Linked DNA regions of Tamandua tetradactyla. The protein of the gene in region 2 interacts with the protein of the main gene of each other region in a pairwise test. Links are inferred from orthologs where the notes say so. Each region holds a gene or a part of one and is shown on either strand. Other genes may lie near its edges.

What was found.
Region 1: the proteins of SORBS3 (region 2) and EIF3H interact in binary tests that used the Homo sapiens proteins (3 or more experiments, as listed by UniProt). The two-hybrid records come from large-scale screens. The link is inferred for Tamandua tetradactyla from reciprocal best matches to the Homo sapiens genes SORBS3 and EIF3H.
Region 3: the proteins of SORBS3 (region 2) and VARS2 interact in binary tests that used the Homo sapiens proteins (3 or more experiments, as listed by UniProt). The two-hybrid records come from large-scale screens. The link is inferred for Tamandua tetradactyla from reciprocal best matches to the Homo sapiens genes SORBS3 and VARS2.
Region 4: the proteins of SORBS3 (region 2) and SOCS7 interact in binary tests that used the Homo sapiens proteins (3 or more experiments, as listed by UniProt). The link is inferred for Tamandua tetradactyla from reciprocal best matches to the Homo sapiens genes SORBS3 and SOCS7.

What each region holds. Positions count from the first base shown.
Region 1 is NC_135332.1:161,029,719-161,037,156, forward strand, and holds the start of EIF3H (eukaryotic translation initiation factor 3 subunit H), read right to left. Parts: upstream 3,002-7,438; 5' UTR 2,952-3,001; coding exon 2,820-2,951; intron 1-2,819.
Region 2 is NC_135329.1:23,326,751-23,334,638, reverse strand, and holds the start of SORBS3 (vinexin), read right to left. Parts: upstream 3,017-7,888; 5' UTR 2,612-3,016; coding exon 2,364-2,611; intron 414-2,363; coding exon 246-413; intron 1-245. UniProt on the Homo sapiens protein: Vinexin alpha isoform promotes up-regulation of actin stress fiber formation. Vinexin beta isoform plays a role in cell spreading and enhances the activation of JNK/SAPK in response to EGF stimulation by using its third SH3 domain.
Region 3 is NC_135331.1:85,843,599-85,851,401, reverse strand, and holds the start of VARS2 (valine--tRNA ligase, mitochondrial), read right to left. Parts: upstream 3,002-7,803; 5' UTR 2,908-3,001; intron 2,853-2,907; exon of another isoform or gene 2,838-2,852; intron 2,729-2,837; exon of another isoform or gene 2,635-2,728; intron 2,474-2,634; 5' UTR 2,447-2,473; coding exon 2,246-2,446; intron 2,130-2,245; coding exon 2,048-2,129; intron 1,934-2,047; coding exon 1,833-1,933; intron 1,523-1,832; coding exon 1,401-1,522; intron 1,290-1,400; coding exon 1,223-1,289; intron 1,100-1,222; coding exon 1,002-1,099; intron 375-1,001; coding exon 293-374; intron 154-292; coding exon 34-153; intron 1-33. Other genes in the region: GTF2H4 (general transcription factor IIH subunit 4), read right to left, coding at 3,284-3,456, 4,163-4,241, 4,398-4,445, 5,128-5,258, 5,474-5,606, 5,861-5,944, 6,154-6,222, 6,349-6,460 and 3 more. UniProt on the Homo sapiens protein: Catalyzes the attachment of valine to tRNA(Val) in a two-step reaction: valine is first activated by ATP to form Val-AMP and then transferred to the acceptor end of tRNA(Val).
Region 4 is NC_135332.1:28,756,616-28,763,672, forward strand, and holds the start of SOCS7 (suppressor of cytokine signaling 7), read right to left. Parts: upstream 3,007-7,057; 5' UTR 2,824-3,006; coding exon 1,847-2,823; intron 1-1,846. UniProt on the Homo sapiens protein: Substrate-recognition component of a cullin-5-RING E3 ubiquitin-protein ligase complex (ECS complex, also named CRL5 complex), which mediates the ubiquitination and subsequent proteasomal degradation of target proteins, such as DAB1 and IRS1.

The DNA.
Region 1 (7,438 bases), on a different chromosome or scaffold from region 2:
TAAGTTTCTTTTTTTCACCTCTAAGTGGGGGGATCATGAGTTAAGCTGTTTTAAGTACTTAATAAAATACAGTGGTTTGTCAGTTGCAATCTTGGTTAATATGGAAAAGCAGAGGGCAATTTGTAATATATATAAGTTTCTTTAGGTCTAAAGGCCATGTGTTGCCTATAGGAAGAAAAAAAAAAGTCAAAAGAGTTGAACCGAGCTTGCTCCAAAGATATGCAAATAGCCAGAAAGTATATGAATAGTTGGTCAATATCACTCACTGTGCTGGTTTGAAAAAGCAGTGCACCCCAGAAAAGCCATGTCCTTTAATCCTGATTCAATATTGTAGGGTGGAAACTGTGCACTGTTTCCATGGAGATGTGACACACCCAACTGTGGGTGTGATCTTTATTAGGAGATGTGACTCTGCCCACTCAACGTTGGTCTTGATTAGTTTAATAGATTCCCTTGAAAAGGGAAACATTTTGGAGAAACTTCAGATGCAGACAGTAGGAGAACAACTGTTTCAGAGCCAACACAGACATGGACATTTGGAAATCTATGGATTGCCAACAGAGAGAGCAGACATTTAGACACAGGCAAAACCCAGCAGAAATTGCCATATGCCTTCCCATGAGAAACAAGCCAGAACCCTGAGTTGTTTCCCAGAGGAGATAAGTGAAGGCCCAAAAATGCTTATGGGGAAACCACTGGCATCAGAAGCTAGAAGCAAGAGAACTGGGAACAAGGACCAGGAGATGCCAGCCATATGTCTTCCCATGTGACAGACATCCACCTTTCTTGAGTCAAGGCATCTGTCTCTGGATACCTTAGTTTGGACATTTTTATGGCCTTAAAACTGTAAACCTGTAACTTAATAAATTCTCTTTTTAAAAGCCGTTCCATTTCTGGTATATCGCATTCCAGCAGCATTTAACAAACTAACACACTAACCATCAGGGAAACAAATTAAAACCCCAATGAGATATCATTTCATCTCCATTAGAATGGCTGCTATTTTTTTTAAAAAGCTGAAAATAACAAGTGTTGGAGAGAACGCAAAGAACTAGGAAAACTCATTCATTGCTGATGGCAATGTAAAATGGTACAATTGTTATGTAAGACAGTTTGGCAGTTTCTCAGAAAGCTAAGTATAGGAAGTACCACATTACCTGGCAATCCCACTACTAGATATATACCCCAAAGAATTGAAATCACAGACTCAGATATTTTCACACTGATATCCGTAACAGCATTATTAATAACTGTCAAAAGATGGAAGCAACCCATGTCCATCAACCAATAAATGGATAAATAAATGTGCCATAAACGTACAATGGAATATTGCTCAGCCATAAAAAGGAATGAAGTCCTGATAGATGGGACAACATGGATGACCTTGAAGATATCATGTTGAGTGGAAATAAGCCAGAAACTGAAGGACAAATATTAAAGGATCTTGCTGTTTTGAGACAATTAGAATAAACTAACTCATAGAGTCAGAATCTAGAATATAAGATACCAGGGGCTGGTTGGGGATAGGGAATGGGAAATTAAGGTTTACAATGTACAGGGTTCCTATTTGGAAAAACAGAAATGTTTTGGTAATGGATAGTGATGATGGTAGCAAAACATGTATGCATGCAAAATTAACAGCACTGAAATATATATCTGAATATGATTAAAAGGGGAAATTCCTAGATTGTATATATCATAACAAAACAAACTTTAAACAAATTCCATGCAATTTACACTACTCAAACAATGAATCCTAAGTTAAACCATGGACTTTTAACAGTACAATTGTAGAAATGTGCTATCATTAATTATAACAAATGTTCCACACCAATGAAAGGTGTTGGTGGTAAGGTAGTTGATGGGAATCCTGTATTTTATTCATGATTGTTCTGTGAATTCACAATTTAACTAATAATATTAAAAAGTTTAAATAGTTTAACTCAAAGATTCAACTATGTGGGGGACCGAAAATTATTCACTTCCACTTACAAAGCCCAGTAAAATAAAATTTTCAAATGAATTTAAAGCTACTTCTTTACTACAATGTCTAAGGTCTGCACTAGAAAACATAAAGATTAAGAGAAGCAGAAAGGCTCTCAAAGCAAAATGCTTTAAAAGCTAGATCGCTGCAAGTATGTATTTTGCTTAGAAGCAATAAAAATTAAATTTCTTATCATTTTAGATTTGCCTCTTCCCTGTTTAGTCCATTTCCTTATTAAGGATTTCCTTAGATGTTCTAGTTCACGAACTTTAACCACTAAATACGTGTACTTCTCTTAGATGTCTTTTATGTTCTTGAGAATAAGTTCTTCATAAAAGTTTATTCCAATTATGCAGGTTTTCGGGAAAAGCGCTGAACCAAAGACAAGAGTAGCTACAAAGTAAATCTCCACTTAAGAAGTTACAGATGTCATGTCCCAGCAGGAAAGCAATGAAAGGTTCCCTTACTCTGCCCTTTCAGCAGCCCGATATCAGGATCCTAGATCATTCTCGACACATCCATCACCTGCCTGTCTCCCACAACAGTCCTTCTCCAAGTCTCTTCTCCCAGCTATCTCAAAAAAAGACTCCAAGGATCTGTCACATACACCCCTAGCCTCGGCCCCATTTCTCAACCTTCAATTCGCCTGTCAAAAAGCAAAGAAGGTTAACGCATCTCTCCCAACAAAAAGTGAGATCACGGAGCGGGTGCTAATAAAAAACCTTGTTCCATTCACATCAAACCTAGAGAGGCGGCGGCAGAGAAACGTGTCTGGCGGGATGGAGTTAGGAACGACGTTCCCCACGTGGACCTAGAGAGATGGTACCCAACTCACCAGGCCATCGATCTGTACTTGCTTCACAGCCCAGTCTCCGGAGCCGCCTTTGCCTTTTCCTTTCCCGGCTGCACCGGTGTTGGTGGTGGAAGAAGAGGCAGCGGAGCTGGTACCTTCCTTGCGGGACGCCATGTTCCCAGCCAGACAGGAAAAAAGAGAAACTGACTATTCGGAAGCGGAAGTAGAGCTCGCGTGACGTTGCGCGCAAACCCCTGTTCGCGGGGCGGAGTTAGGAGGATAGTAGAGCGTGGGTCCCGCCTACCTCCTCTTTCCAGACTCTTTCCCGGGCAGGATCTTTTGCGCACGCGCATTCTGCGTTTGCCGTTCTGTCGCTGTGTTTTAATACAAATATAGATGTTTCTTAACGTTTTCTATTTTATGCTTAGGCATTCTCCATTAGACAGATGATCATAACATTATGCTCGCATTTCTGTAACGTCTCATACAGTATAAGTGCTTTCACTTCTATTTTTTTAATACCCGTTTCCAATCCTGCAAACTATAAGCGCTATATCAGCTCGCATTATACATATTAGGAAACATAGACATGATTTGCTCGACATCATTCTGTTAGTTAGGGAAGAGCCGGTATGGCATAATTTGTCTTATATAATTTTAGTTAGTAGTCTCCAACCACTTAGCTTGTACGAAAATGGATTAAAAATGGGACTTCTGTCAGAATTACCAGAACTAATAGCCCTTCGCAGCTACTAGTTTCATATAGATATTAACGTGAATATAGTAAAAGAGCAGTTATTATGTAAAGTGTTAAACGATGATCCAAAACGTATTTCCTAAAAACACCTGACTTATGACACACTGCTCTGAAATAAGCATCTTAATTCTTTAAAAGAGTACTTGACAATTTAGAAAGCCTTCTTTCTCATTCAGTGGAGAATGTTCTTCATTCAATTGTATGTATTTAGAACTGAATGAAGTAAGTAGATATGTCAATGAAGGATGATGATTCCTGCCCTGAAATATTTTATTGTCTTTGTTGTTGGGGTGTTTTAGTTTCACAGGCTGCTCAAAGGAGATACCATGAAATGGGCTGGCTTTAAACACTTGAAATATATTAGCTTTCTGTTTGAGACCCATGGGAATGTCCAAATCCAGGCATCATCAAGCCATACGTTCTTCTGGAAGACCAGCTGCCAGAGTTCCTTGGCTCCTCTGACAAATGGCAAGGCTCATGGCAGTTTCTGTTGGTCTCTCCCTTTTCCTCCAGATTTCCTTACTTTCAGCTTCTTGGTTCCACAGCCTTTTTCTCCTTATTCATGCTATTTATAAAAGACACCAGTAAGAGGATTAACACCTATCCTGAATGAGGTGGGTTATACCTTAACTGAAGTACCCTCATAAAAAATTCCTACTTAAAATGGGTTTACACACGCAGGAATGGATTAGATTGAAGAACATGTTTTTCTGGGATACATACTGCTCCAAACCACCACATGGTAGGAGAGGGAGTGTTGTATATGGGAACAAAAATAGTTACACCTGATGAGGGTTTCCAGGACACATTCCTGATACAAAATGAAAAGTTAATATTTGGTATTTTCTAGTGTTCCATAAATGTATAAGTATTGAAAATTGATCATGGTAAATTACACTAGTAAACAGAAATCGAAGGAAAAATCATAAAGAAGGCATAGACGGTCAGGGAAAGGAGAAGGAAGAGAAGGGAAGGGAGGGGAGGGAAGGAAGGGAAAAACAGAATTGGAAGTTTGTGTATGCCACTGGGTAGATGGAATAATGCGGATCATAGAATACCTAAGCTACTTCTGAACAATAATAAATGTATTTGCTTTATCCTATGATTTACAAACAATTATTTTACAAAATTACTGTACCAATGTTATCACTAACAATAAAACCACAGAGTAAATTTTAAATTTTCTTTTCAATGTATTGTCATTAGAAATATCCCACTAAGATTTTTTAATTAAAAAAAAGATTTGAAGTCATATGTGCTAAATACTTCACATAGGTTCTTGGTTTTTTGTTTGTTTTTTTGTTTCGTTTGGTTTGGTTTGGGTTTTTTTGCATGGGCAGGCACTGGGAAATGAACCTGGATCTCGGGCATGGCAGGCAAGAACTGGGCCTGCTGCACCACCATGGCCAGCCCCATAGGTTATTTTAAACTGACCCAATGTGGTGATTGCAGCCCTTCTGAAATAGTACTCCTCAGAGTGCAAAGAAAAATAAAAAAGAAATCAAGGTCCCTGAGTTGCTTCCAGAGAACTCTTTTGTTGCTCAGATGTAGCCTCTCTCCCTCTCTCTCTCCCTCCCCACCCCAAGTAAAATCATTGCCCTCTGTGCTGATTTGAAACTGTTATGTACCCCCCAAAAATCCTTGCTCTTCTAATCCTGATTCAATATTGTAGGGTGAGATTTTTTTATTAGATTGTTTCCATGGAGATGTGACATATCCAATTGTGTATGACCATTTAATTAGATTATTTCCATGCAGATGTAACATACTCCATTGTGGATGTGACTTTTTCATTAGGTGGAGATGTGGTGGATCTTGATTACTTTACTGGAGACATTAAAAAGCAGACACATGGAAACATTTAGGAGAAAATTTAGACACAAAGGTTTGGAAATGCAGAAGCCTCAGGAGTTTCAAGGAGCTGAGAGAGCTGACAGAAGCTATACGGGAACCAGAGCCCAACAGATGTCACCATGTGCCTTCCCATGACACACTAAGGTAAGAGATGAAACCCAGAGTTCTTCTCCAGAGCAGCTAAGTCAGGACCCACAGACGCCTAAAGAGAAAGCCACTGGAATCAGAAGCTACAGGCAACGGAACCAGGAACAAGGACAAGCAGATACCAGCCACGTGCCTTCCCATGTGATAGACACTGGCCTTTCTTCGGAGTCAAGGTATCTTTCTTTGGATGCCTTGGTTTGGACATGTTTAAGGCCTTAGAACTGTAAAACCTGTAGCTTAATAAATCCCCTTTGTTAAAACTGATCCGTTTTTGGTATATTGCGTTCCAGAAGCTTTAATACACCAAAATACCAATACCCTTATTCCTATGTGGAACATGATGTCCACGGATGTAAGCCTCCCTAGCAATGTGGGATATGACTCCCAAGGATGAGTCATGACCCTGGCACAATGGGATCAACAATGAATACCTTACCAAAAGGGGGGAAAGAAATGTAACAAGGTATCAGTGGCTAAAAGATTTCAGAGAGAGCCAGGAGGTTATTCTGGAGGTTACTCATATGCAAGCTTCAACTAGATATAAAGGAATTAAGGGAAAAAATGCCTGAAAAGTAGAATTTGAATTAGGAAAGCAATATAAACATCCTAGCCAGAAAACACCTAGAAGAAGTAATGACATTTCATTCCTGGATCAGTGTCTGCCCCTTTCTTAGTAGGCACCATGGCTGATTCCTCTACCCCTCACCAGTCTTTAAATATTGAAGAGCACCAGTGTTCCCCAGTGTTCCCAGAGCACCAGTGTTCCAAAACTTTGGCATCATCCTTGATTCCTCTGTTTCCCTTAAACCCCACTGCTGATCCATCACTAAATCCTAAAAGCTCTATCTTAAAAATATGTTTATTGATGAATTGACAGGAGGGCATGGGAATCTTTTTTTGTTATTTTTATTGACAAATTTTCATGCATATACAGTCCATACATAGTGTACAATCAATGCTCACAATATCATCACATAGTTTTGTATTCATCACAATCATCATTTTTAGAACATTTGCATCACTCTAGAAAAAGAAATGAAAAGGAAAAACTCATACATTCCATACCCCTTACCCCTCACTTTCATTGACCACTAGTATTTCAATCTAAACAACTTTTTACCCCTTATCACCCAATTATTTATTAATTTTTATCCATGTTTTTTTTTTTTACTCATCTGTCCATATCCTGGATAAAAGGAGCAACAGATACAAGATTTTCGCAATCATAGTCACTATTTCATTTTACAATCATCTTCATGAATCAAGGCTACTACACAGCTCAACAGATTCTTCCCTCTAGCCACTCTAATACACCATAAACTAAAAAGGAATATCTATACAATGCATAAGAATAACCTCCAGGATGTCCTTTCCACTCTATTTGAAATCTCTCAGGCACTGAAACTTTGCGATCTCATTTTTCTCTTCCCCCTTTTGGTCAAGAAGGCTTTCTCCTGGCTCCTGACTCATCCTGGGATTTCTGTTCCATGTTTCCAGAGAGATTTACACCCCTGGGAGTCATGTCCACATAGCGGGGAGGGCAGTGAGTTCACCTGCCACATTGGCTTAGAGAAACAGACCACATCTGAGCAACAAAAGAGGTTCCCTGGGGATGACCCTTAGGCCTAAATTTAAGTAGGCTTAGCCTATCCTTTGCCAGAATAAGTTTCATAGGGGCAAACCCCAAGAAGGAGGGCTCAGCCTATTGATTTGGTTGTCCTCACAGCTTGTGAGAATATCAGTAATTCTCCAAATGGGGAAGTCCTTTCTCCCCAGTCTTCCAAGAAGACCTTCCAAATACTTCTTTATTCACTCCTCTGATTACTCTGGGGTATATTGAGGCATCACACTAACCTGGACAAACCAACAAGATCTTACACCCTATTCAAGATCCCTTGTAATT
Region 2 (7,888 bases):
TGGACAAGGACAAGGTTTTCTCAAATTTCTCCTTTTCCGGCTTGGGGCGGTGGGTGGGTGGGTGGGAGCTAATGGCCTCTTTCCACCCAAGTTTCCAGAGTTTGGGACGCGGAACCTCTGGGGACCCCACGAGGAGCGGCTCGGCGGCCTCCTCTTCGGGTTTGGCACAGGTCAGAGTTCCCTCCCAGTCCCTCCCCGCCTGCGGCCTCCGCCTCCTAGCCCGCCCTCCCCTCCGTGGCACCTACCTTCCCGGGCAGACAGGTGGCGGGGTCTGAGGACGCCTGGGCGGGCAGGAGCATCTCGGCCCGGCTCCTGCCAGGCGCGGCCGCTGTGGGCCCTCGGCGAGCGGCCGGGGAGACGTCCGAGGTGCGCTCCCTGCCCTCGTGACCCGGCCGGGCTGGGGCTGCGGGGGGCTGGGCGCCCCCGGAGGGAGAGGGCGACAGTGAGCGCGCGCGCGCGGGGAGGAAGGGAACGTGAGTGGGGAAGAGGGAGGGCGGCCGGCGGAGTTAGTGTTTCCAATCTGAACTGTTTGCCGAGGGGTGGGGTGGAGGGCCCGGCTACTCCCTCTCTCCCGCCTCGCGGGGCGGAGGCTCCGGGACGCGCCGCTGAGGGCGTGCGAGTGCCCTCCGTCGGGGCACTGGCCGGGCCGGGCGCGCCGCGGGGACGCTGGTGGCCCCTTGCCGGGGAGGTCGGGCCGGCCGGGAGGCGGCGCCGCCCGAGGGTCCCTGGGGAGCCCGCTCTGGTTTCCCAGCTGCCTTCCCCCCGGCCCCCCACCGTAAGGCTGGCGTCGGGAGGGACACGGGAGAGCCAGCCAGAGCCACTCAGAGTTTCCAGCGACATTTCCAGAGTGTGGGAAGGGAGCTGCTGCACTGCGGAGCCAGGACAGAGGGCAGAAGTGATTAACGACAGCGAGCGGTGGGCTCCAGAGCCCGGGCCGGCCAACGACTGATAGGGAGGCGGCAACTTCGAGAGGCCGGAGACCCGCAGGAGATGCAGACTGGCTGGGACCGAGATAAGCGGAGGGCGCCCCACAGGGAGTCCTTAGCAGAATGAGTTAAGGCCCGGCTGGCTCCCTCCCCACTAGGAAAAAGAGATTTTGTGCTTGCGTAAGCGCGCGTTCGGACGTGTGCAAACCCCACACATGCACACACACATGGCTCGCAAACGTGCAGGTACCCTGGAGACAGCCCCTGGAGGAAATTGGCCTAGGCGAGCAGCACACAGGGCATGCTGCCTCCCGAAAGAGGATGAGGGTGGGGTCTCTTCTGGCCGGGATGAGGTTTGGAGGATCTGACTGTTCCCATACACGGGATTTGTTTTGATCTTGCTGCTTTTCCTCTGTTCCCACATCTCTGGCCAGGGTTCCAAGAGTCCCTGCCCATTGACTCCCTGACCCTAGTGGCCTTCCCTTCTCTGCCCACCTTTCCTCCAAGTCCTGTGTCTGCACAGGGCCTGTTGCCGAAAGTGAGAGTGCTAAATGAGTGTTCATTGATAATGGAAACAGACTGGAATACTTCTAGCCTTTGGCTTGTTTCTGGAATCCTAAGCCCTAAACTAACTAAACAGCAACTTCAGACCCTCTTTGGGATGATAGTTATAAAGTGTCAAAGTAAGGAGACATTTATTGCATGCCTACTGGGTTTTAAGATCAGTGTCCTCAGAAGGCTTTTCAAGTATATTATTCAACTCAAAAGTTCAGAAGGGAGTAGGGAGAGGGAATGAAGCTATTTTAAATCCCTACCACCGCTGATGTTATTAGCTTTTAACTTATCTTTTCTCACTTCATTTAAAAGAATTATCTCTGGTTGCAATGGATGGGCTTGACACAGGATCAAATATGAAAGGAGATATTTAGGCTAAGGAGAAGCTTGAGAGACAGGGCGTGCAGGCTGACTTCCAATGTCTGTGGGACTGCAGCAATGTTTGCATTCTATGGAAGTACACTATGTGGGAGTGCAACTTCTGCTAACAGAAGTGGGACCATTGGGTACAAATTATAGGGAAAGCAATCCAAGCCTTCCAAGATAGTGTTCTTTAATAACTGTAAGTGTTCCAAGTCTGCCAATTGTGGATTGTTTTTGTCAAGGCAATTATTGCACTGAGCAGGGGGCTGAAGGAAACTGTTTCCTTGTAAGAATGTATGATTCTTTAGGAAAGATGAAGGGAAGGGGATGGATTTGAGAGCCACTCATAATAGAAGACAGCTACAGAAAGGAAGGTAGGAGCTCAGGAAACTTAAGGGCAGGAAGTGGAGCATCCCTCCCTTTCCTAAAGCTTGAGTACTTACCCACCCCTAGGGACCATTTTTTCTCTCCCTAGGGACAATGTATGTGCCCATTTCTCTAGTCACCAATTTTTCCCACCTGTTAGGATCCTTGGCACTAGGAAAGGCCACATCACTTTCATTTTCCTCCTTGTTTTCCAAAGACAGTGAAGCTGAAGATCCTATGACTCCAGGAATCCTGGCCATACCCTTTCTCACTAGCAGCAAGCTTCCCTTATTCTCTAGGGCTCTGACCTGGGCTCCAAGATAAATATTTAACCTAGAGGTTGCAGCTGAGCTGACAAAGGTCCCAACTTCCTGTTTGTCACAAAGGGAGGTGGCAGCCATCAGCAAGTAGCTGGGAACTGCCTACCAGTTTCATCGCTATGGAAATATGGAGTATACGGCTTCGTAGGAGGAGGAGGGGCAGGCCCTGATGGAGACCTGAGGTTTTCCCTAAGCTGCTCTGACTTCTGCCTGTCTTCTTAGGTGCTGATTCTGCCGGGCTTATGGCTTTTTCTCTCAGGTCAGAACATGCTTTGCCCTAGCACCAGCTAAAATCATTTTCCTTCCCAGCACCTTAGACTATCTGCTTGGACAAAGGAGGGCCTATAATGGGGACTGTCTGTTGTGTTCCGTGGTGCCCATCTGACCTCATAGAAGAGAGGATGAGGGATTGGTGAGCGCATAGGGCAGGAAAAAAAACAAGGAACCTTGACTACTTCCTCCTGTTCTGCCTATGTTTAGGGAAAAGAATCCCTACTCTTTGAAAAGTGGGAGATGAAGGGGGAAAAAAGAGTAGCAAGGTTCAGAGACAGCCCAAAACCAGGTGTCTGATTTCTCAACTCCTCCCTCTGTCTTCGTGCTATTTGTTGCTGGCCTGACTTCCCAGTTGGCATCTTTTTAGGGAGAGGCTGAGGATAGAGGAGACTGTCCTAGATAACATGGCTGTTGTCAACAGCAGAACAGATTCCTTTAATCCAAAAGCAGTGTGTCCTCTGCATGACTCCCTTATGCAGGGACCTCCTTCCCTGAGCTTGCCTCCTCCCCACCTCTGCCACTTTTTTTTTTTTAATTTTTAAAAAACATAACAAACAAACATTCTTAACATGTGATCATTCCATTCTACATAAATAATCAGTAATTCACAATATCATCACACAGTTGTATATTCATCATCATGATCATTTCTTAGAACATTTGCCTCAATTCAGAAAAAGAAATAAAGAGAAAACAGAAAAAATTTCATACATACCATACCCCTTACCCCTCCCTTTCACTGATCACAAGCACTTCAATCTACTAAATTTATTTTAACATTTGTTCCCCCTATTATTTACTTTTATTCCATAGGTTTTACTCGTCTGTCATAATGTAGATAAAAGGAGCAGTACGGTAGATAAAAGGAGCACTGGCACTATCTTTTGTCAGGGGACTGCCTCTGCCTTCTCAGAGCCACCTCAGCCATAGTAAACATAGTTACATAATTGCTGTTTTTCCTAGCTGTCAGATCCCAATCACCAGTATCTTAGGCCCCCCTCTCCACTCCTGGAGGCTACCACCTTTAGTTCTGTGGATTATCCCTTAATAGCACCCATGTCAGCAGAGGTCTGTCCATTCCAACCACCCTAAGGGATGATTAGTCAAGAGACTACCAATTAATGTGGGACTTCACACAAAAGGGAAGAAGGTGGCTTTTCATGCAGGAATGCAGGTCACACTGAAAACTAACCTGTCACCAACAGGAAGGTTGAACGGAAAGTGGACTTCAGTAGTTTTTTATTATAAAGGAAGGCTAGGTAAATAGGGTCCAGCAGAGAACTGTTACATTTCTTAAGTGGGGAAAGGGAAGCCAGGGATCCCAGAAGACATAAATATGGACTCCTTCTTGAGGAGTGTCTTTATCTGGGCCTGGGAGTTTGGTATTCACACCAGACACACTGCTGTGATCTACCCTAAACAGCTAAGTGCCTCCTCAGCTTTGTGCCTCAGTCCCCCTACATTAGATAAAGGAAAGGCATCTATTGTTCCTTTTTTTCTCAGGGATGAATTTTCAGGTAGACTTTGAGCTGGTTTTTTATTTGTACTCTCAGGAGTGTTTTCTTCCTGCCAAGGGAACTGAGCAAGCAGATCAGAATGGATTAGGAAAGAAAGCACTGTCCCTTTCGACGAGTTTGGACTTCTCTATTGGGGAAGCTGACAGTGACACAGCAGTGAGGAACTGAAGACCAGTCATACACACACCAGCAAAAATCTGGGCTGTTTCATCCCCTGAACGCCATCCCTTTCTCCTGGGTCCTCTCCTGATTCCAGCACCTGCATGTGTTCCCAGCCAGGTTCTACTGATTGCCCTTATCTGTACCAGCCACTCATGGGAACAAGAGCAAGCAGAGGAGGAAAGAGTAAATGACCCTCTTTGGGGCTTAAAAGGCCCTCCTAAATGGACAATGGCATGATGTAGATGGCCTATTCCCATGTCTTGTTCATCTGAAATCCAAGATTTTTGTTGTAGTCACTGTAAAATGAGGGATATTTGAGAGTGAGAAATATATGAGATTAATACAGGTCAGGTATGGTCAATGGTGGGCCCTGGAAGCCAGAACGACTGAGGGGATCCCCAAAGGATTAGAATGAGGCTTTCAGACCTGCCTTTGTACAAATCTTTCCATAGCATACACATGATGGAACGGGCATCTATTCAAGGTTCTTGGAACCAACAAAATCCAAATCCTAGAGGCTGCGTGAGAACTCAGCCTTTTGCCCAGTTTATCTAGTCTATCCTCAAGGAAGGTTTTACACTGACATAACAATTATTCTCTCTCTTCCTCTTTTCCAGTTGGGCAAACAAGCACAATGCACAGATGAGGTGTCTTTGAGAAGAACTGAGCTGTGTGAACTTCTTTTAGTTCTCAGGAAAGATGGAAAGAGAAGTGTCTGTCAGCTCTTTAGAGACTAGATTTTATAGGGGAAGGATAAATGAGTGATGACCTCAGAGGAAAAACCCAGCCAAGTCAGCTCAACCACAAAGAAGAGCACAGAACCAGGAGTTGGAAAATTAGGTATGCATCAACCATCTTTCCTAGCTCAGTTAAGCTAAGCTAAGTAAGATAAGAGGGATGATTTGTTGGCCAGTGTACACTTGAGGTAGAATTCTGGCCTCTGAACAAAGAATAACCTTGTCTTTCCACCTCCGATTTTATGATGAACCTTCTCCTTAACTGCATCAACATTAAAAAAAAGACCATCTAATTTACTGTTAAATTCTTAATTCCCTGCATCAGAATTAAATAGATATTCTTTCTAAAATCTGGAAATTTTGATAAAAAATATAAAACCATGTAATTACATTTAGCAGCCCAAGAAATGGGGATTAGATCTTGATATAGCAAGAATTAAATACAATTTTGCATTTGGATCCTTAATTACCAGGCTTTTAAAAAAGTTTTAGGACCTGGTTGTCAATTCTGGAAATAAGGGCACATATAATATTCCTATTTTGCTGAAGGTTTAGCTGAAATATAAGGATAACGCTAAGGCATGATGCTATTGGAATAACAAAGAACTCAAAATGTATACCCAGCTTATCTGAGATTAGAAATCTGGACTTGTTTTATGGGCTGTGAACTGCACTGTGGCCCTCAATGTGGTATGTTTAAAGTAAAAAATTCTGAACTTGGGTTTGACTTTCTGGATTTAGACTTTCTACCTCCTCTGCCATAACGTGTAGAACTTCCTCACTGATGCATTTTCCTTTCAGGCTGCTAGGCACTTTCCCTATCCTCAATTACCCACTTGCCCAGAGGAGGTTATTTTTCCTCTTGACTCCCCAGCACCTGATGTTTCTACTTTTCAGATGAATCACAGGGCTGGTTCTGATGCTTCTTTTTCTTGGAGTCTGACTTAACACTCAACTCCTCTCTGCCTTCTTCAGCTTCTCCTGAGTGGGAATTCATCCATGTCTATTATTAGGATCACAGGCAGAGTAATTAACTTACTACAATAAAAGACTTTTTTTTCAGTTTCGTAAAAACAGTCTTCTGGGAGCCTTTCTTCCCTTTTTTAAAGTTGCGGCCTCTGCTGGAGAAGCCACAGAAGGAGCTTGGATTTGAGCATGAGTTACTTATGGCAAAATGCCAGGAAGGCAGCCAAGGGCCCCGGAATGAATTCTGAGTGAAGAGAAATAGAAATACCTCTACAGTTATCAAAGCCAATTTAAAAATAAAGGATAAGAGAGAAAGAAATAGGTATTTTTTATTATGATGGAATTCCATCTCTTAAGAGGGGAATTCCTTGGCATTGTCAGCGACCAGACCAGACACTAAACACCAAGCTTTCCCTCGACTTCTAGAATTATTAAATAGGTAAGAGCCAAATATAAGTGCCTTCATCAGGAAATAAAGAAAACAGGGAGTCAATGAAGGTATAGTTTAATTTTAAGAGAGTTTTCTTTTTTTTTTATCTTTAAGATGATTTCCAATTTACAGTAAGAAAGTTCGAACAAATTCATTTCTTATTCTCAAGAAAGACTAATTAAATGATTTCTGCCAAAATAACATTTCCACCATCTCTTTAACATAACTGAAAGCATGAAAAAAGCATGTAATCTCTAAGAATAAGTATATATTCCGTAATTCATAAGAACCTAAAAATAATTACACTGCCAGCTAGTATCATGTGTCTGACCACCTCAAATAGGATGCAAAACCAGGATCTTTTCATTGGAAATGACTGCTGACATTTCTATTAGGAAAAATAGCTGTTGGTTATAGTACACTGAAAAAGGACAAGTGAGATGTTCATGATGGCATCTTAAAAAGATACTTTGACAAAACTCCACATCTTTATTATTCAAACTTAAAAATCTATGGTACATTACCTCCTTCACTTCAACATGCAAAAAAAAAAAGTTATTTTGAGGACAGCTATGTCAAGGGAATTTTGGTAAGGGCATATAGGAGGGCAATGTGAATGGCCCTACTTTAGAGCTGCTTGGAGGGATGGTCCACATGCATGTCCTTGTTTCTTGATTTTAAGCCACCTAGATTTGTCATGGGGTTATAGAAGAGGAGAAGATGCTAAGACTGGTCATAACTGTCTCAGACAAAGGTGGTATTTAGTGAGTCTTGTCAAGCTTGCTGAGACATGAGGTCAAGGTCTCCTTGGAGGGAATATACTCTGCAGTGTTACCTTTACCTTTGTGGCTGTGTAGATGAAAGCAGCGAACACTGACCTCATTCACTTCTGTTGGCAGGCCATGTCACAAGTCTCAATGTAATATAGGTTCTCTCTTTCACACTCTGTCAATGGCACAAAGCTCTATTGTTAGCATTGGTCTCTGCTTTCACTTAAGTAAAACCCTGTTTTTCTACTGTACAGATTTCTTCCTCAAGACACATTTGCTCTTTCTTAAGGCTTTCCTATGAGTGTTCTGAACATAGTGATGCTGCAAAGGCACTGTGGCAATACAAGTCTTCAGAATGTTCTCCGTGTAATCCAAACCCTCCTTGATCTATTTCTGGAGTTTCCCAAGTTGCCCTTTACTCCTCCTTATGGCATATTTCAGAAAAGATATTGGTGGAGTGTCCCACAAAGTGAAATCCATGGTTATAACTACAAATAACTGTA
Region 3 (7,803 bases), on a different chromosome or scaffold from region 2:
CACAGACCTGTTTCTCCTCTTCCCCCACCTCACCTCAATATCCGAGATGGCTGATCTTAAAGAGCATGACCAGTTGACGAGCTGCCGGTTCCGGTACAACAGCCCTGCCTCGTAGAGTCGCACAAAAGCTTCAGTCACAGCCACTGAGGAGCCCTAGAATGACCTAAGCGTTCACATCCACAGCCCCTTCACAGCCCTTCACCCACAGGCTTGCCCACACTCTCGCCTGCAGAAATCTCTAAACGCCACCCACACCCCAACACCCGCAGGGACCAAAGCATCAAATGCTTACAGCATCCATGGTAAAACACTCTCGGTCCCAGTCCAAGGAGGCCCCCAGAGCTCGGAGCTGCTCACAGATCTCTCCACCTTTCCTGTTCCCAGAGAGAATACTTGTCAGCAAACACGTCCCAAGCAGCTGCTACGTACCAGGCCCAGCAATGCTGGGGGCTGGAGGGAAATAAAAAGTAGGTCTGGCATGGACCCAGCCTCTAGAAGCTATTGGAGACAAACACAAGACCTAGTAAGGAGCCTTCTATGATACTAAAACAAGCATAAAGTTCTACAATAACAGAGGAGGGGGCAGCCAATATGTGTGAAATCTAAGGAAGTTTCATAGAAAAGATGGCATTTGGTAACAGACTTGGAAGAATAAAAGTGATTTCAACAGATGGAAAGTGGGAATGGGTAAGTGGGAGGGTTGGTAAAATCTACACAAGGTAAAATGGGATAAGTAGAAGAAAAAGAAAAAAATTTAAAAGCATATGTATATATATATTTATATATTGTATATATATGCACACACATATATAGGTACATAAACACACATACATAATGGCTGGAGAATCTCAGCAAGTGCTAAGGGGCCTCAGACCTTATGTTTCTAAGGGATGTTAGGACTGGGGTTGGGAGAGCCACAGACTACAAGTTAGGAAAGAAAGTAGCTGAGGACCCAAGCCTCAAATATCTCAGCCCCCTCCATTCCTTCCCATCCCACTTACTCTTCCTTCCACTTCCACACCTCCCTAAGGAAGTCTTCCCGGCTCAGATCGTATCTCCTCATCCCCTGCTCCTTCCACAGCTGTTTCTCAACCACAGCCTACATTAGAATTAGGGGGCAAATGAACAGAGAACCAGGTTGCTTTGGAGAAACTCTTTTTTACACAAGAAAAGAAGGAAATCTCTTTTACACAAGAAAAGAAAAAGGTAGCAAAAGACATACTTGCGTGGCGATGCCCGCGTGATCTGAACCAGGGACCCATAGCACCTGATCCCCACGCATCCGATGCCTGCAACAGAAGCCCCCCCACATGAGTGCCCAAGCTTACATGTTTATCCTCACTTTTTTCCTACTTTCTACTTGCCTTCCAAGAACTCAAGAAGCCCCCAGCCCCTCTCACCAGCGCACAAGGACATCCTGTATGGCCACTGTGAGTGCATGGCCGATGTGCAGGGAGCCGGTGACATTAGGGGGTGGGATACACATTGAAAAGGTCTCTCCTGTGGCCTGTGGCAGCCGGGCCTAAAAGAAGTCAAAGGGCAGGAAAGGATTGGATGTTACCTGAGGGAACAGCACCCCCTGGCGTCCTCAAGGCAGAAAGAACTAAGGGAAGAACTGTCCTGCAAATGGGGGCAGTGGTGGGGGTGGGGGGTTGAAACTGCCAAGAGAAAGCTTCGGAGATGCTAAGGGCAGAAGATAAGCTCGTCTTTTCTGGACCAAGCTCTGCAATGTGGCTGTAAGGTCCAGATTCTGAAAGTCAGCTGTGCCCACCAACCTTACAGGCCACTCTGTCCTGGGAACAGTTTAGAACCCCTCCCTCCCACGTACTGACCTGATATTCTGGTTTGAAGAAGCCCTCTCGTACCCACCAGGGGTACCAGGCAGCCTCAACATATTGGGGGCTATACGCAGGAGGCAGCGACCCCGATACATCTGTGGAGACAGAGAAGAGCTCTACTAATTACCAAACCTTATCCCATGCTGCATTTAAACAGACAAATAGCAACAAGTGTGTAAATGAAAAAGCCTTCAAAGTTCCCCAGTTACCTTTCCTTTCACCGCGTTCTGTAGGGATTTCATACAATATTCTCTCCTTAGGAGTCCAGGCCTTACTAGATTCTGCAGGAGACTGGGGAAAGAGAGAGACTGAAGGAGGGTTTGCAATTCCCAGCATATCGCAGCCATCTCCCCCAGCCTCCCCAAGTCTTCTCAGAGACCCACATTGCAAGCTGTCTGACCCCTAACCTTGCTCTTCCTGATTATCCCAGCCTCCAGGGCCGCCTGCTTCTCTCGCAGGCGCTTCTGCTTTGCTTCATGGTTCCTCCGGGAGATGGGGGATCCATGGGGCTCCGGCTGGGTTGAAAGGGCATGGGACCTGGAGAGGCCCCACGAAGGCCTCAGCCCCCAAAGTGGTGGTCGAAAAGAAGCCAGAGACAAATGAGGCATCAGGAGTGCTTGGAAACGGGTCAAGATCTGTTTCAGACAGAATGTACATCAGGAAGACATGTTGTCTCTTCCTATTCTCTCCTCTTTAGCCCTTCTTCCTAGAAGCACTGCCCTGTGGTTACTCTAAATATCCGTTCTCTCCTACACAAACCCTTCCTCTAGGAGTTTAGTATTGACAGGGACAGTACCCAGAAATCATGGAGACGAGGTATGCTTTGGTGCAGAGTCGGAGACTTTGGCCCTCAACCCATGCATCTACGACACGGAGGTGACCGACAACACCTGAGGGGGCGGAATTCAGATATGACTGACATTGGCATGCCCGAGAGCCGGCGAGGAGTCCCGCCAGGGTCAGTGCGATCTTCGTACGCCAGGCCCCGAGCCTTCTCACCCATTCCACCGCGCGGCCCCGATCCCCGCAGCGCCCCCCACTCCCGTAAGCCGCCCCGGCGCACTCTCACCCGCCGGCCGTAGGCCCTGACAGCGCCGGTGCCCGCCGCGCGCGGTAACGTGACCAGCGATCAGCGCGGGGCCTCGAGGTGGGTCCTCAATCCCGCGCATGCGCAGCAGCCGGCCTCGTCCCTCCCCTCCCCTCCCGCGGCCCAATGGCAGTCCACGCCGACCGGCGCCAGTAGATGCGGGGAGGAGCCGGCGCCGCTCATTTCCTTTTCACAATTTTATTAATAAACAAGAAAAATACCAACGTGTATATCGAAAAAAAAAAAGAAAGAGCCAACAAACAATAACAACAACCCTGAGTCCTAAGGCCGTGACCGGCTCTGCTCGCCCGAGTTCCGGTCCCCGCACTCAGGAGCTGCCGGTCCCGCCCGGTCCCGGTCAGGAGTTGTGCTTTTGCCGCTTCCAGAAGCGCTTGACGTCGCTGTGCCCGGCCGGGGTCACTACCATGAGCCGCTTAGCCGAATTCTCGAATACGAGCACGCCGAGCTCCCGCGCGTGAGCCAGCAGCAGTTCAAAATCCACTTGCGACAGGAACTGGTTATACAGCACGCCTGGGGGCACAGGTCGGGAGGGAAGGAGAAAATCAGACGTGAGGCTCTGCGCTAGCGACCCAAGGAGTCTTCCCAGCCCCTTCCTGGCAGCCTCAGGCCACAAGTCTGGGATTGCAATCCGCTGCAATTTAAAACTATTCCTCTATGCTTGTCTCTTCCTGGCTCATCTTAAAACTAGCGTGTGGGTAGATGGAAATACTAGTGGTCAATGAGTGGGAAGGGGGAAGGGGTATGAGTTTTTTCTTTTTATTTTTTTCTGGAGTGATGCAAATGTTCTAAGAAATGATCATAGTGGTGAATATACAACTGTGTGATATTGTGAGTCACTGATAGTACACCAAGTAAGGAATGTTCATATGTTAAGAATGTTCGCGTTTGTATGGTGTTTTGTCAATAAAAATATTAAAAAACTAGTGTGACCCAGCCATATTCAGGAAGGCAATATAGCACAAAAACAAAACAAAAATTATTGTAGCTTATCACTCTCACTTTTCCTCTTCTAGCTAGTTTCAACTTGTGCCGGTTTGTGCCACATTATTTGCTGCCAACCACCCACCCCAAAATAGAAGTGTCTTGCCAGCTTTTCTCTCCCAGCTCATGGCAGTTAACAAAAAAATTAAATGCATGAAGAATTTTTTTCAGTTAGTCAAAACTGAATTGTCATTTCTCTGGCCATAACCAAGACTGAGCCATGGAAGCCACTCACCCTCTGTGAACCGGAGCCTGTCCCTTTCCAGCTCCCATAGCCGAATCTGGTCTGTGATGGTGGGGGGCAGCACAGGTGTCTGCAGGGGTGAACTATGGCTGTAAGGATTCAGGAATAGGGCCCCCAGGCAACCCCAGCACTTCTCTCATTCCCCAGGCTTGGATGCCCCTCTCTCTTTTCTATCATCTCAGCACCAGGTGCCTGAGGTTGCCAGCCTCCAGTATCTTAAGTGTACCTGTTTGAGCATCACTGGGTGGGCCCTTGTTCTTAGGAAGTGGATGATCTAGGAAAATAGAGAAGAATAGCATCAGAGCTAAGGTAAGAGGGCAGGAAAGCTCCCTGACCTAATGTCACAGGAACATCAAGTTACTCACAGCTAATCCCTCAATACTTGTGCCTGTTGCCAACCTGACCCATTCCTGTACAGCTGCTGTTCTTGCTGCTCCCACTGGTCATGTCTGCTATTCCCTCTCTGGCACATTTGCCTTTTCCAGTGTTCTTTTGTTTTTCTTTCTTTAAAATACTGGCTTTTTTCTTTTTTTTTTTTTTTTTTTAGCGCTTACTGCATGGCAGGCTCTGAGCTAAATGCTTTACCTTTATTCTCTCATTGACTCCTTCCAACAACCCTATGAGGTGAGGACTGTCATTATTTCTGTTTTCCAGATGAGGAAACTGAGGCTCACAGAAGTGAAACAATTAGGCTCAGTCTTCACAGTAGGAAGTGGTGACACTGAGACATAACATCCAGGGTTATACCTCCTCTTTCCATGCTTTTTCTTCTCAAGGGTCTTCCTATTCTTACACCTAGAGCTCTATCTCATATGCCCAGTGTTCAAACAAAGGCAAGCCACCCACCACCTACAGTAAAAGACCTGGTGCCAGCTTTCTATAATGTGATCACCCTGTTCCCCACAACCCAAGTGCAGGTCATCATCTGGTCCCCACCTCCCCCAGGTGTGGGGTACCTGCTGGGCTGTGATGCCACTGGCAATGGCCTGCTGTACACTCTCCCGGGTCACCTGTGCCACCACCATGTTGGGGAAGCGATAGAGCATCTCAGAGAAGAGGGCAATGAGGGCAATCTGCAGCTCCGACTCTGATCCAGGGATGAGAGAGAATGAGGAGGGACAGCCCCACATGCAGACACCCTCAAACCCTACCTTCAAGTGTAATGAGAAATGTCAGAGTACTCTGTAAACTGCCAGGTGCTAGGTGAATGGAAACAGAAATTGGCATCCCCTCCGGCCAACCACCCACCCCAAGCCTGCTTTTCCCAGCCTGCTCTCCCAGGAGTCCTCTGTCTGTCCTCACCTGTGTAGGCATACAGTCGGTAATTGGTCTCTACGACAATGAAGCCTGGTTGATGCACAGTGCCCCCAGCCCCAGAGACACCTGACGAGAGATTGATGGCCAGGCGCGTGGGATAGTAACGCCGGGATTTCCTCTGGAAAGGACAGAAGGGCAGGGCAGAGGGCCCTTGCTCAGGTGTCACTGCCCTACATCTTCCTGCCTGAGACATCAGATCCCTCACAGTCCAATCTCAACCCCCAACTTCTCTCCCCTGGGGAACCAAGTTTTCAGTCCTGGAAACTACTTCCTGCTCCTGCCTCCTGAGCCATCCCCAACCCTCCTTTTTAAAGGTCAAGATAACACACCACCATACTGTTCCCTAGAAGCCATGCATTTAGATGCTCATACCTTCCTCTGGAAAACAAGCCCAAACTCACGAAGATGTTGCAGAAAATTCAACAGTGAATCACTCATACCTTCCACAGAGTAATCCTGGGGAAGAAATTTGGTCAGCTGGTGTCCAAAACATATCCCATCCTTCCTCTCCTGACCCCACAGATTGTTTCCACTTGCCCCATCTCTGATCAGTCGGTATTTGTTCTTATTTTCTTGCTCTATTGCCCCACAACTGCGTTCCCCCCTTCCCATTTCCCTATCCCTCAATCTGCCTACCAAGCTCTCAGCTTCAGTTGCTTGCTTACCTTGCCCAAAGTAGAGAAGCTGAGCTGAAAGAGGAAGGAGAGAATCTCCACTAGATCCATGCCCCGGCTCTAGAAAGGAAAGTGGCAGGGAGGGGAACGGGAGGACAAAGAAAAGAAAATCAGGGCAGGGATCTCTCAGCAAAATGTTCCTGGGAACAGCATAGCATACTGGTAAGCAGCCCCTGGCCTCCTCACCTGGGCTGTCTGCAGATACTGCAGCATAAAGTACCAGAGCTGAGCAGGAGTGTCTAGAAGTAGGAATTGGAACCCAGCAGAAGTTATGCAGGGTGGCTCTCCAGGTTCAGTACTAGGACACACAGAGGGACAATGGTGGAGATATACAGAGAAAGGCCACCATTCCCACTTGCTCCCTCACATTTTTTCTTGGTACCTCTGGTTTTACTCTACTCAGCTTTCCTTTTTCATTTGACCTGCTCCAATCCTGACCCACTCCAGGTATCCAGTTTAGCAGGGACTCAAGGAGATGGTAAAGCAGGGAGCTGTTGTACCTCTGGCTTCCTCACCTCTTCATGAGTCCAGCCTGGCTGAGGAGCTGAGCCAAGTCCTGGCTAACGGCTGCACTGGGGGAGCCCACCATGAAGTGCAGCACCACCTGAATAACAGAAGAGAATGGAGAGACTAACACCTCTAAGGGCCATGGGTAAGTGGGAACACAAGCAGAGACACAGAGTCTCAAGTCCTCACCTCCCATCGTTCCTCAGCATACTTGTCCAGTGAGGGAACATCCCGGGCGTGCTTGTCTGGTCCTAGCTGACTTGTGTCATCAGACCAGGCCTTCCCCCTATGGCCAGGATATGCCAAGAGTAAGGAACCTGCCGCCCCTGCCCACATTTCACCCTCATCCCAATGGGCCATGAATGAGGGATATTTCCTTCACCACGCAGCTACACCCTGGTCCAACTTATTCCTAAAGGAGCTCCCAAAGGTGAAGCCCACAAGGTTCTAGGGAGGTCTCTCAGAAGCTCCCCATCCAGCTGTTTAATTTGCAGTTTGGGAAGAGATCCTGTCCTAGCTTGGGAAGAGATGGAAGTGACATACCCACCCAGAAGGGCAATGCGGAGATTCTGGCGGAAGACGGGATTGAGGATGAGGCCCTGGAGACCACCAGGGAGAAGCTGGGTGTGCCAGATACGGAGTCCACTCAGCAGACTTGTACTTTCCTCCTGTGCCCTGGAACAGAAGCAGAGAGTGGGGTTTCTGGAGAACAAGAAGGAGGCCTACACAGGCATCCATTTCTGCCTTTTCTCAATGGATGATTCCTGGAACACAGAATGAAATCAGTGTCTTCTTAAGACAAATTTCTTTACTATAAATTTCCTTTACTATAAGACTTAAAAGTCTATACATGTCATGACTTGCTCTATTGCCAAGAAGAAAAATACAGTAGGCAGAGTTTCTTAAAATTACTTAATTATGAATTTTGTAGTATACCCATTAATATTTCCTGGAAGTGACCCAAGAAACAGCAGTTCGGGAAATACAGCTGTTAAGAAATGTGTATCTAGATAGAGGAAAATGTTGGGAGATATCTTATGAATCTTACAACTGGAGGTGGTTTTATGGACCTTAAACCTAAAGCAAGAACACTGAAGAAGGAAATAAATAAATGGGAGCTCCTCAAAATTAAAC
Region 4 (7,057 bases), on a different chromosome or scaffold from region 2:
AATGTAATATGCTTTTTCTTCTTCCTAATCTATTAGACATAGCAGCTAATTTCACGCCACACCTCATATTTAGTGTCTTTGGAATACTAGACTAAATCCTAGTCAATATGGAACAAAGACCAAGACAAACCACAAGAAAATTAGCAATCTATCCTATGTCATTATCTACAGCTTCAATCTGGCCTTCCCTCCATCTGATGAAAATTTCATCCATATGATAAGTGGAGCATCAAATGCAGTGTTTACCACACAAAAAAAGCTGTTTCAACAGCCATACACTTTTCAAGTCCTGAGCTCTCAGCATGAGTTCACTAGGAGTCAAATGTATAAATATCTGCCTACCTCAAGGGACAACACACATCAACCTATTGATTTCTCTAGGGAGTATGAGTTTCACCCAGTCTCCAAGATGAGCCCATGAAACAGGTGTTCAGAAGTAGCAGCAAAGTCAAATCAGCCCCACACTTTCCTCTTGCAGGACCCAAGTTCCCTTGAAAAGAGAAGTTCCTAGATTAGTGGTTCCCAGTCCAGGTAGTAATGGCTCAGGATTAACTGGGAAGCTTTTTTAAAGCTCAAATTCTTAGGCCCCCAGACATACTGAACTTTTCAAAAGTTCCCCAACTAATTCTAGTGCAGTGAGGTTATCAGTTTTTTTTGGTCTACCTGTTCATAAGCATGCTTCCTGGTGGTTACTGGTATGCCTCGGAAATCCATCATAAAAGTCACCCAAAACCATTTCAAATCTTTCTAAGAACACACCCAAAAGCACAAACCACGATGGCAGTCACCACAATGGAGTCTCATTTCACTGATAAAAAAATTGACAGCTTGGCAAGAATATATAATAAATATCAATTAAAAATTACAATATATATATAAATAAATAAAACTGTTCTACAACTAAGTGCTGTGATGTGCTTTGAAATTTATTGCTTTTTTGTATATATGTCATTTTTCACACACACAAAAATTGACTGTGATGATAATTGCACAGCTATATGATGGTGTCGGGAACCACTGATTGTACACTTTGGATGATTACATGGTATGAATATATAATAAATATCAATTTAAAAAATCAACAGCTTTCTAAACCAACACTACAGATAGAACACTGGATGACAAGAGAGAAGCCCACCCTTCAGAGATGCAGGAAAACAGGCAACTTGATACCTGTTTTGAATTTTCATCTAATGGCCTAGAATTTATGTATCAATTCCCATACCTCATACTTAGAATTCTTGTATAGGCTTGAGAGCAAAGCTGTTTTCTAATCTCACAGATAGTAGTCAGCACACATACTTGAGATATCAAGTACCTTTAAGGGAACACCGGGAAACGTTAAAATACTCAGTAGTGCAGGTCATGCAAAAGTCCACATCATTTCTATGATGAGTGTGAAGGGGTGGGATACTGGTACACAGAGAATAAGCAAAGTGGTCAAGATGCAAGCTGTGCTTTTTGTTCCAAAGGCCAAACATCTCAAGCAATTGCCCTGCCAGGGGCAGTGGTAGACACCTTGGAAAATGTGAAAAGCTTGAAGGGGGTGATGGCGATGGAGGGAACTCATAGGGGTATGTTCAAATCATCTCTAAACTAGAGAGGTGCACACCCGTCGTGAAATGTCCTGGGGTGTGAACTCTTGGTGAAAACTGTTTCCATAATTTACCACTAGCTCTGGCCCGGATCTAACGGGAAATGCCACCCTCTTCAGTCCTTAGGCCTCCTCACGAAGACCACATCTTAAGACTTGGCAGGGTTAAGTGTTAGCAGTAGAAAAAAAGGGAAACGACACAAGAAAAGGAAGTTTCTCATCCAGCCCCCCCCCCCCCCCAAACGGTCTCACCTCCCCGCGTCCTGCTCCCGGCCCGCAGAGCCTCCCACGTCTGTCAGGCTCGCAGCTGAAGCAGCCAGCTCTTCAGAAGGCCTCTTGCCGGTCCCATCTCCACCGCCGGAGCCACCGTTGCAGCTCTTAGTGCGAAAGAGGCGACTCAGGCGGATTTTGAGGGACCCCTTCCGTGAAGGGCCAGCGAGCGGCCGGAGGGGCGCAGGTGGAGGCGGGGGCGGGGGAGGCTGCTTCTGCTGCTGCTGTTCTCTACCCAAGCGCCCAGGAGGGACCAAGTCCTGCAGCGGGAAGGGCACTGGGGGTAATTCGGGGCCTGGGGGCTGCAGCAGAAACCGGCCACCCCCTCCTCCTCCGCGTCCCGGGCTGCTGAGCTCCTCTTCTGAGCAGCTGTTAGTCTCCAAGCTCTCGGCCTCCGATTCCAAGCCCTCCAGGACCAACAGCGCGTCGCTCGTTTCCGTGGGATCCTCCCCGGCCTGCGGGGCGGCAGCAGGCGGCTGGGGTTGCGGAGGGGGCTGATGCGGGGGGCACGGACACGGGCAGCACCCCCCACCAACCGTCTTCACCCCCGGCCCCGCCGGCTGCCCGAGCCCCAGAGCCGCCAACTGTGCCTCTAGTCCAGCCGCCGGGCCCCAGGCCCGCTCGAGCGCCAAGCCCGGCGTCAGGGCCTTGGGGTCCAGGGCACAGCGATGCCGAGGGCACAGCAGTTCCGACGGTCCGGGCTCCCGGGCCGCCTCGGCGTCCTCTTCCTCCGGCGGCCGACCCACGTTGCGGAAAACCATCAGCTGCGGCGGCCGAGAGCCCCGAGGGCCGGGTCGCGCGAGGAAGGGTGGCGGCGGGGGGCCATGGCCCGGGGGCGGCGGCGGCGGCGGCGGGCCTGGCTCGGGGGCCGCCTCTCCATAGCCGAGCAGGCGGCTCAGGACGCGGTACGAAGCGGCCGCCGCCGCCGCCTCGCCATCCCGTAGCTCGGCCCCCTGCATCGGGGAGAGGGAGGGAACGAGGGCGGCTGCGAGCCGGGCTAGGGTGGGGACTAGGCCGGGCCCCGCCGGAGCCCCGCCCGCCGCGGCCCCCGGAGCGACAGCGCGAACGGCCGCCGCGGCCTCTGCCTCATAGAGGGGGGCGGGGGACGCGCGGAGCCCAGCGCGAGTCCAGGCCGCGCGCCGCCGCCGCCAAGGACCGCCCCCCGGGTTAGCGTCATTTCCGGAAGGCTGTAGTCACGCCCCTCTCTTTCAGGGCGCGCTCGCGGGGGCCTCCACGGCGCTTGACGTTACGCGCTCCAAGGACCACTAATTGGCCGTTAGCTCACCGGCTGGTGGTTGGTCAATTGACCCGACCATTGCTTTTTCGCTTCCCGGGCGCCCGGGCCCTGTTCACCCCGCTCGGTAAAGTGAGGCGGCCCTAGGAAGCCTGGTCTGGTCGTAGAAGAGAGCCTCTAGTTCTCGCTCTGCCTATGCCGCTTGGGATGTGTGACCTTGGCTCGGTCATTTCATCATTAATCTGTGTCCCCCAGGCAGCCAGTGAATATTTGTTGGATGATTACAGGAATAATGTGTTCTGGACCTAGTGGTGTGTTGCTGAATGTTTAACAGCTGGCTCAAGAGATGGGGATGGCATATGCATTTTACTGATGTGAAGGATATGTAGCTCACTATTTACAAATAATAAAAATATAAAATTGCAATTGATCGTCACGATGTTTTCATTGATTTTTGCCAAATTCTTGTATGGATTGTCAACCTCTGGTTGCAATTGACCAAGGACTGTAGTTGCACCATAAATGTTGGTTGATAATTCCGTCTATGTTAATATATGGAGTCCCAGGGCTGGGACCCCCTCCATACTAAGAATAAGTTACTGCACATAGCTGCCTGCAATGAGCAGGACAGAAGCTAAAAGTCATCAGACCTCCTCGGGGGTGAAACTAATGTACAGATGGTATCATAAAGCATTAAAAAGCCCTTCCGATGGCTGTTGATAAACTTCCAGACCCCTGCATCACGAGGCCCTGCTCAAACTCAGTTCTCATACCCTATGGAATGTCTTTGTCCTAAACGCTTTTAAGCTGTACTTCGCACTCTCGTCCTTTTGTGGAGCACTGACTTCCATTTTCTGGACAACCGCCACCAGGAAAGATCTTCTGCTTGTAAATCCCAATAAAATCCATGCCTAACTCTCTACCTAATATGTTCTTTGTTCTTGGGGCTGCGTGGACCTGAAGCTTTTCAAGAGCTTGGTTGGAACATGATGTAAGAGGAAAGTGTAAAAAACAAAGACCAACTTAACTGGATTGTCAATGATGGGAGTAACTAATTTGCTAAATTGGAAAACAGTTTCAAATACTAGGAAAATATCTCAGTTTTTGCGCTAGTCACAATGTAACAGCTACACATGGCACATTAAGTTTAAATCTGAATTAACATTTTCTCCATCACTTGCCTAAGTTTAAACAATCAGTAAAACCATAAATAAAGCCCTGATTTGTAGAATTTACAGATTTCCATGGTGTAAGTATTCCTACTCTGGCTAATTTCAACATGAATTTTGAACTCAGAGCTAGGAAGACATGAGTAGTAACATCCTATCACATAAATAGTTCCATCATGCAGATACAATAGATATAAATAACCCTGAGCATACATAATAGTAAAACAATTAGAAAGTGATGAGTGTTGAGATTTTATGACTTCTGTTTTTAATATAATTTATTTATAAGTTTGCATATTTTTGTTTTCATTAGTGACTGTGTTTCCTGAAAATTTAACAGTTGGCTTTTACAAGGCGCTATGAGCCAGCTCCACAGCACCAGTAGATATCAGTTTTCTGGTCTGTGAAAGAGGGAGAAGAACTGCTGTTTTGCTTACTTGTAGGCATGTTATGAGGATCAAATAAGACCAAGGAGGTGGGACTGGAGGCAGGGAGACCAGTTAGGAACCCATTACAAACTTCCTGTGAGAGATGCTGAAGGGGCGGGCCACGGTGGCTCCGCAGGCAAGAATTCTCGCCTGCCATGACAGAGGACCCGGGTTCGATTCCTGGTGCCTGCTCATGTGAAAAAAAAAAAAAAAGAGAGAGAGAGAGATGCTGAGGGATGAAAGGGATGAGAAAGGACCAGCAGAACTTAGCAACTTCATTACCTGAGGGTGCATCGAGGGGAAGCGGGTCAAGGATAAGGGCAGCCACTAGATTTGAGGGTCCACTGTGAACCCTGCAGCCAGAGGACCATTTCAAAATGGAATGTGTTTCTGGCTTCCCATCGTCCTTAAGCTGAAGACAAAACTCCTTAAGGTGGCCTACGGACCAGATGTGATCTGGCCCCTGCCTCTTTCTGACACAGCTCCCACCAAGCTTCTTTTCCCTCTCTCTCTCCGGCAGCCCACGTCCCTGACCCCTCCCTCCCCCCATTCCTCCAACCCACCCACCCCTGCCTTGTGTCAAGCTTGCACCCATATGGCCATTTACATAAGCTGTTCCTTTTCTTTAGAAGACTTCTCCCTCTTTCTGCTTAGTAAACTCCCACTCGCCCTTCTAACTGAACTCACTCCTCCCTTCCTTAGGGAAATCTCTCTGCCTGGGCACTTCCCCATCTTCCAGCTCCTTTGTGAGACCACCAATTTGTGGCACTAAATTACACAGATGTAATGTATCATCTCTCTGTGGGGCTTTTTGACTAAAGCCTGTCATCCCTAGCATACTGTAAGCTGCAGGAGGACAGGGGTCTTGTTTGGTTTTTGCCCATTATGAAATCTCCAGTGCCAAAGATCATGCCGAGCAGAGTAGCCCTTGATACATAAGCACAGAGTGGTCTTATAAGAAGTTCCTGATATAAATTAACCTCTAATTCTGCACTAAGGAATGAATATCCTTTCTTACACGTGAAGAAACAGAAGCTCAGAGATTTAATTACCCAGACTCACACATTTCAAAAAGGTGCAGTGGAATTCAGAACCAGCTCTCACTCCCAAGATTTTATCCTTTTCCCTCCTTCCACCAGCTACCTTTCAGGTATCATTCGGGTTTATGGCAGAAAAGAATAGAAATTGCTATAGGATCACAGAACACCTGAGGTCAGAGAAGGCTACCTAAGACCCCTGGCTTTCTCTGGGAACCTCACTGGCCCCTGAACAGGGTTCCCTGTAAAAGGCCAGGCCTACTGGCTCTGCAGCGCCCTCTGCTGTTCCAGACACTTTTTTGGCCCCAGAAAGAAGCAGACAGTGTTGGCCAGTTGGGAAAGTCCACTTGCAGGCTCTTCTTTCTAAGGCAGGTCAAGGCTGCTCTCTTGCCCCATTTCCTTAATTGTCTAGGCCTGTGGTCCAGGTCGTAGAAAAAAACATTGCAAGACAATCTCCAAGTACAGAGAGTGTATCTCTGTGTTTGTACGACTTGGATGTATGTGTGTTTGCTCAGTGGGTTTTGTGTCTACATTATCTCTTTCACTTGGGCTATAAACGTGGTCCCTGCAGTGGTACAACCCTAGTTAGAGAGGTCTGTGGAGAACAACTTAAAGAATCTAAAGAAGTCCTGAGGTTCATTTAGTGTTTCAATATTAATTGAGCACCATCAATACTCAATGGGCTAGGCTTTGAGGTGCAGTGAGGAATGAATGGCTGCCTTATTCTAGAGCTTGTGATCTGGTCTGAGTTCTAATCATACCATTTCCTGGCTATATGACCAAGACCAAATTAATGACACATCTTTGAGCCCACGTTTCATATGAAAAATGAATGGGTCAATAATCTCTCCTTTGGTTGTGGGGATTAAATGGAAAATTATATGTAAAGGTGCTTGTTAAGTGGTAAAGCACTATACAAATGTTAGTTATTATTATGGAAATCTTCTGGAAAAATAATCGTGTTACCTTATTATTATGTCTTTACCCAGTATATTTTGTTGACTCCAAACTACTGGTAACCAGTAATAATAAGAGAGCGGAATGGGCCACTTGCTCTACTTTCTCCCTCTCTCTGTTGGCACCCAGAATTGGAGCAGTCAGAAGAGAGGTGTGGGTGTGGGATACTAGTGTCTGATCCCAACCGTACCACTAAATGGCTTTGTGGCCTTGGGAATGTCACTTTCCTCTCAGGGTTTTAGTTTCCTTTTCAGTTAGAGAAAGATGTGGGCCCTTCTAGTTTTGACATCACAGAAAACCGTGTGGACAAAGCCCCTTTCTCTCCCACCCCCACTGTTTACACTCACACTTGGGATTCTGCAGCAAAG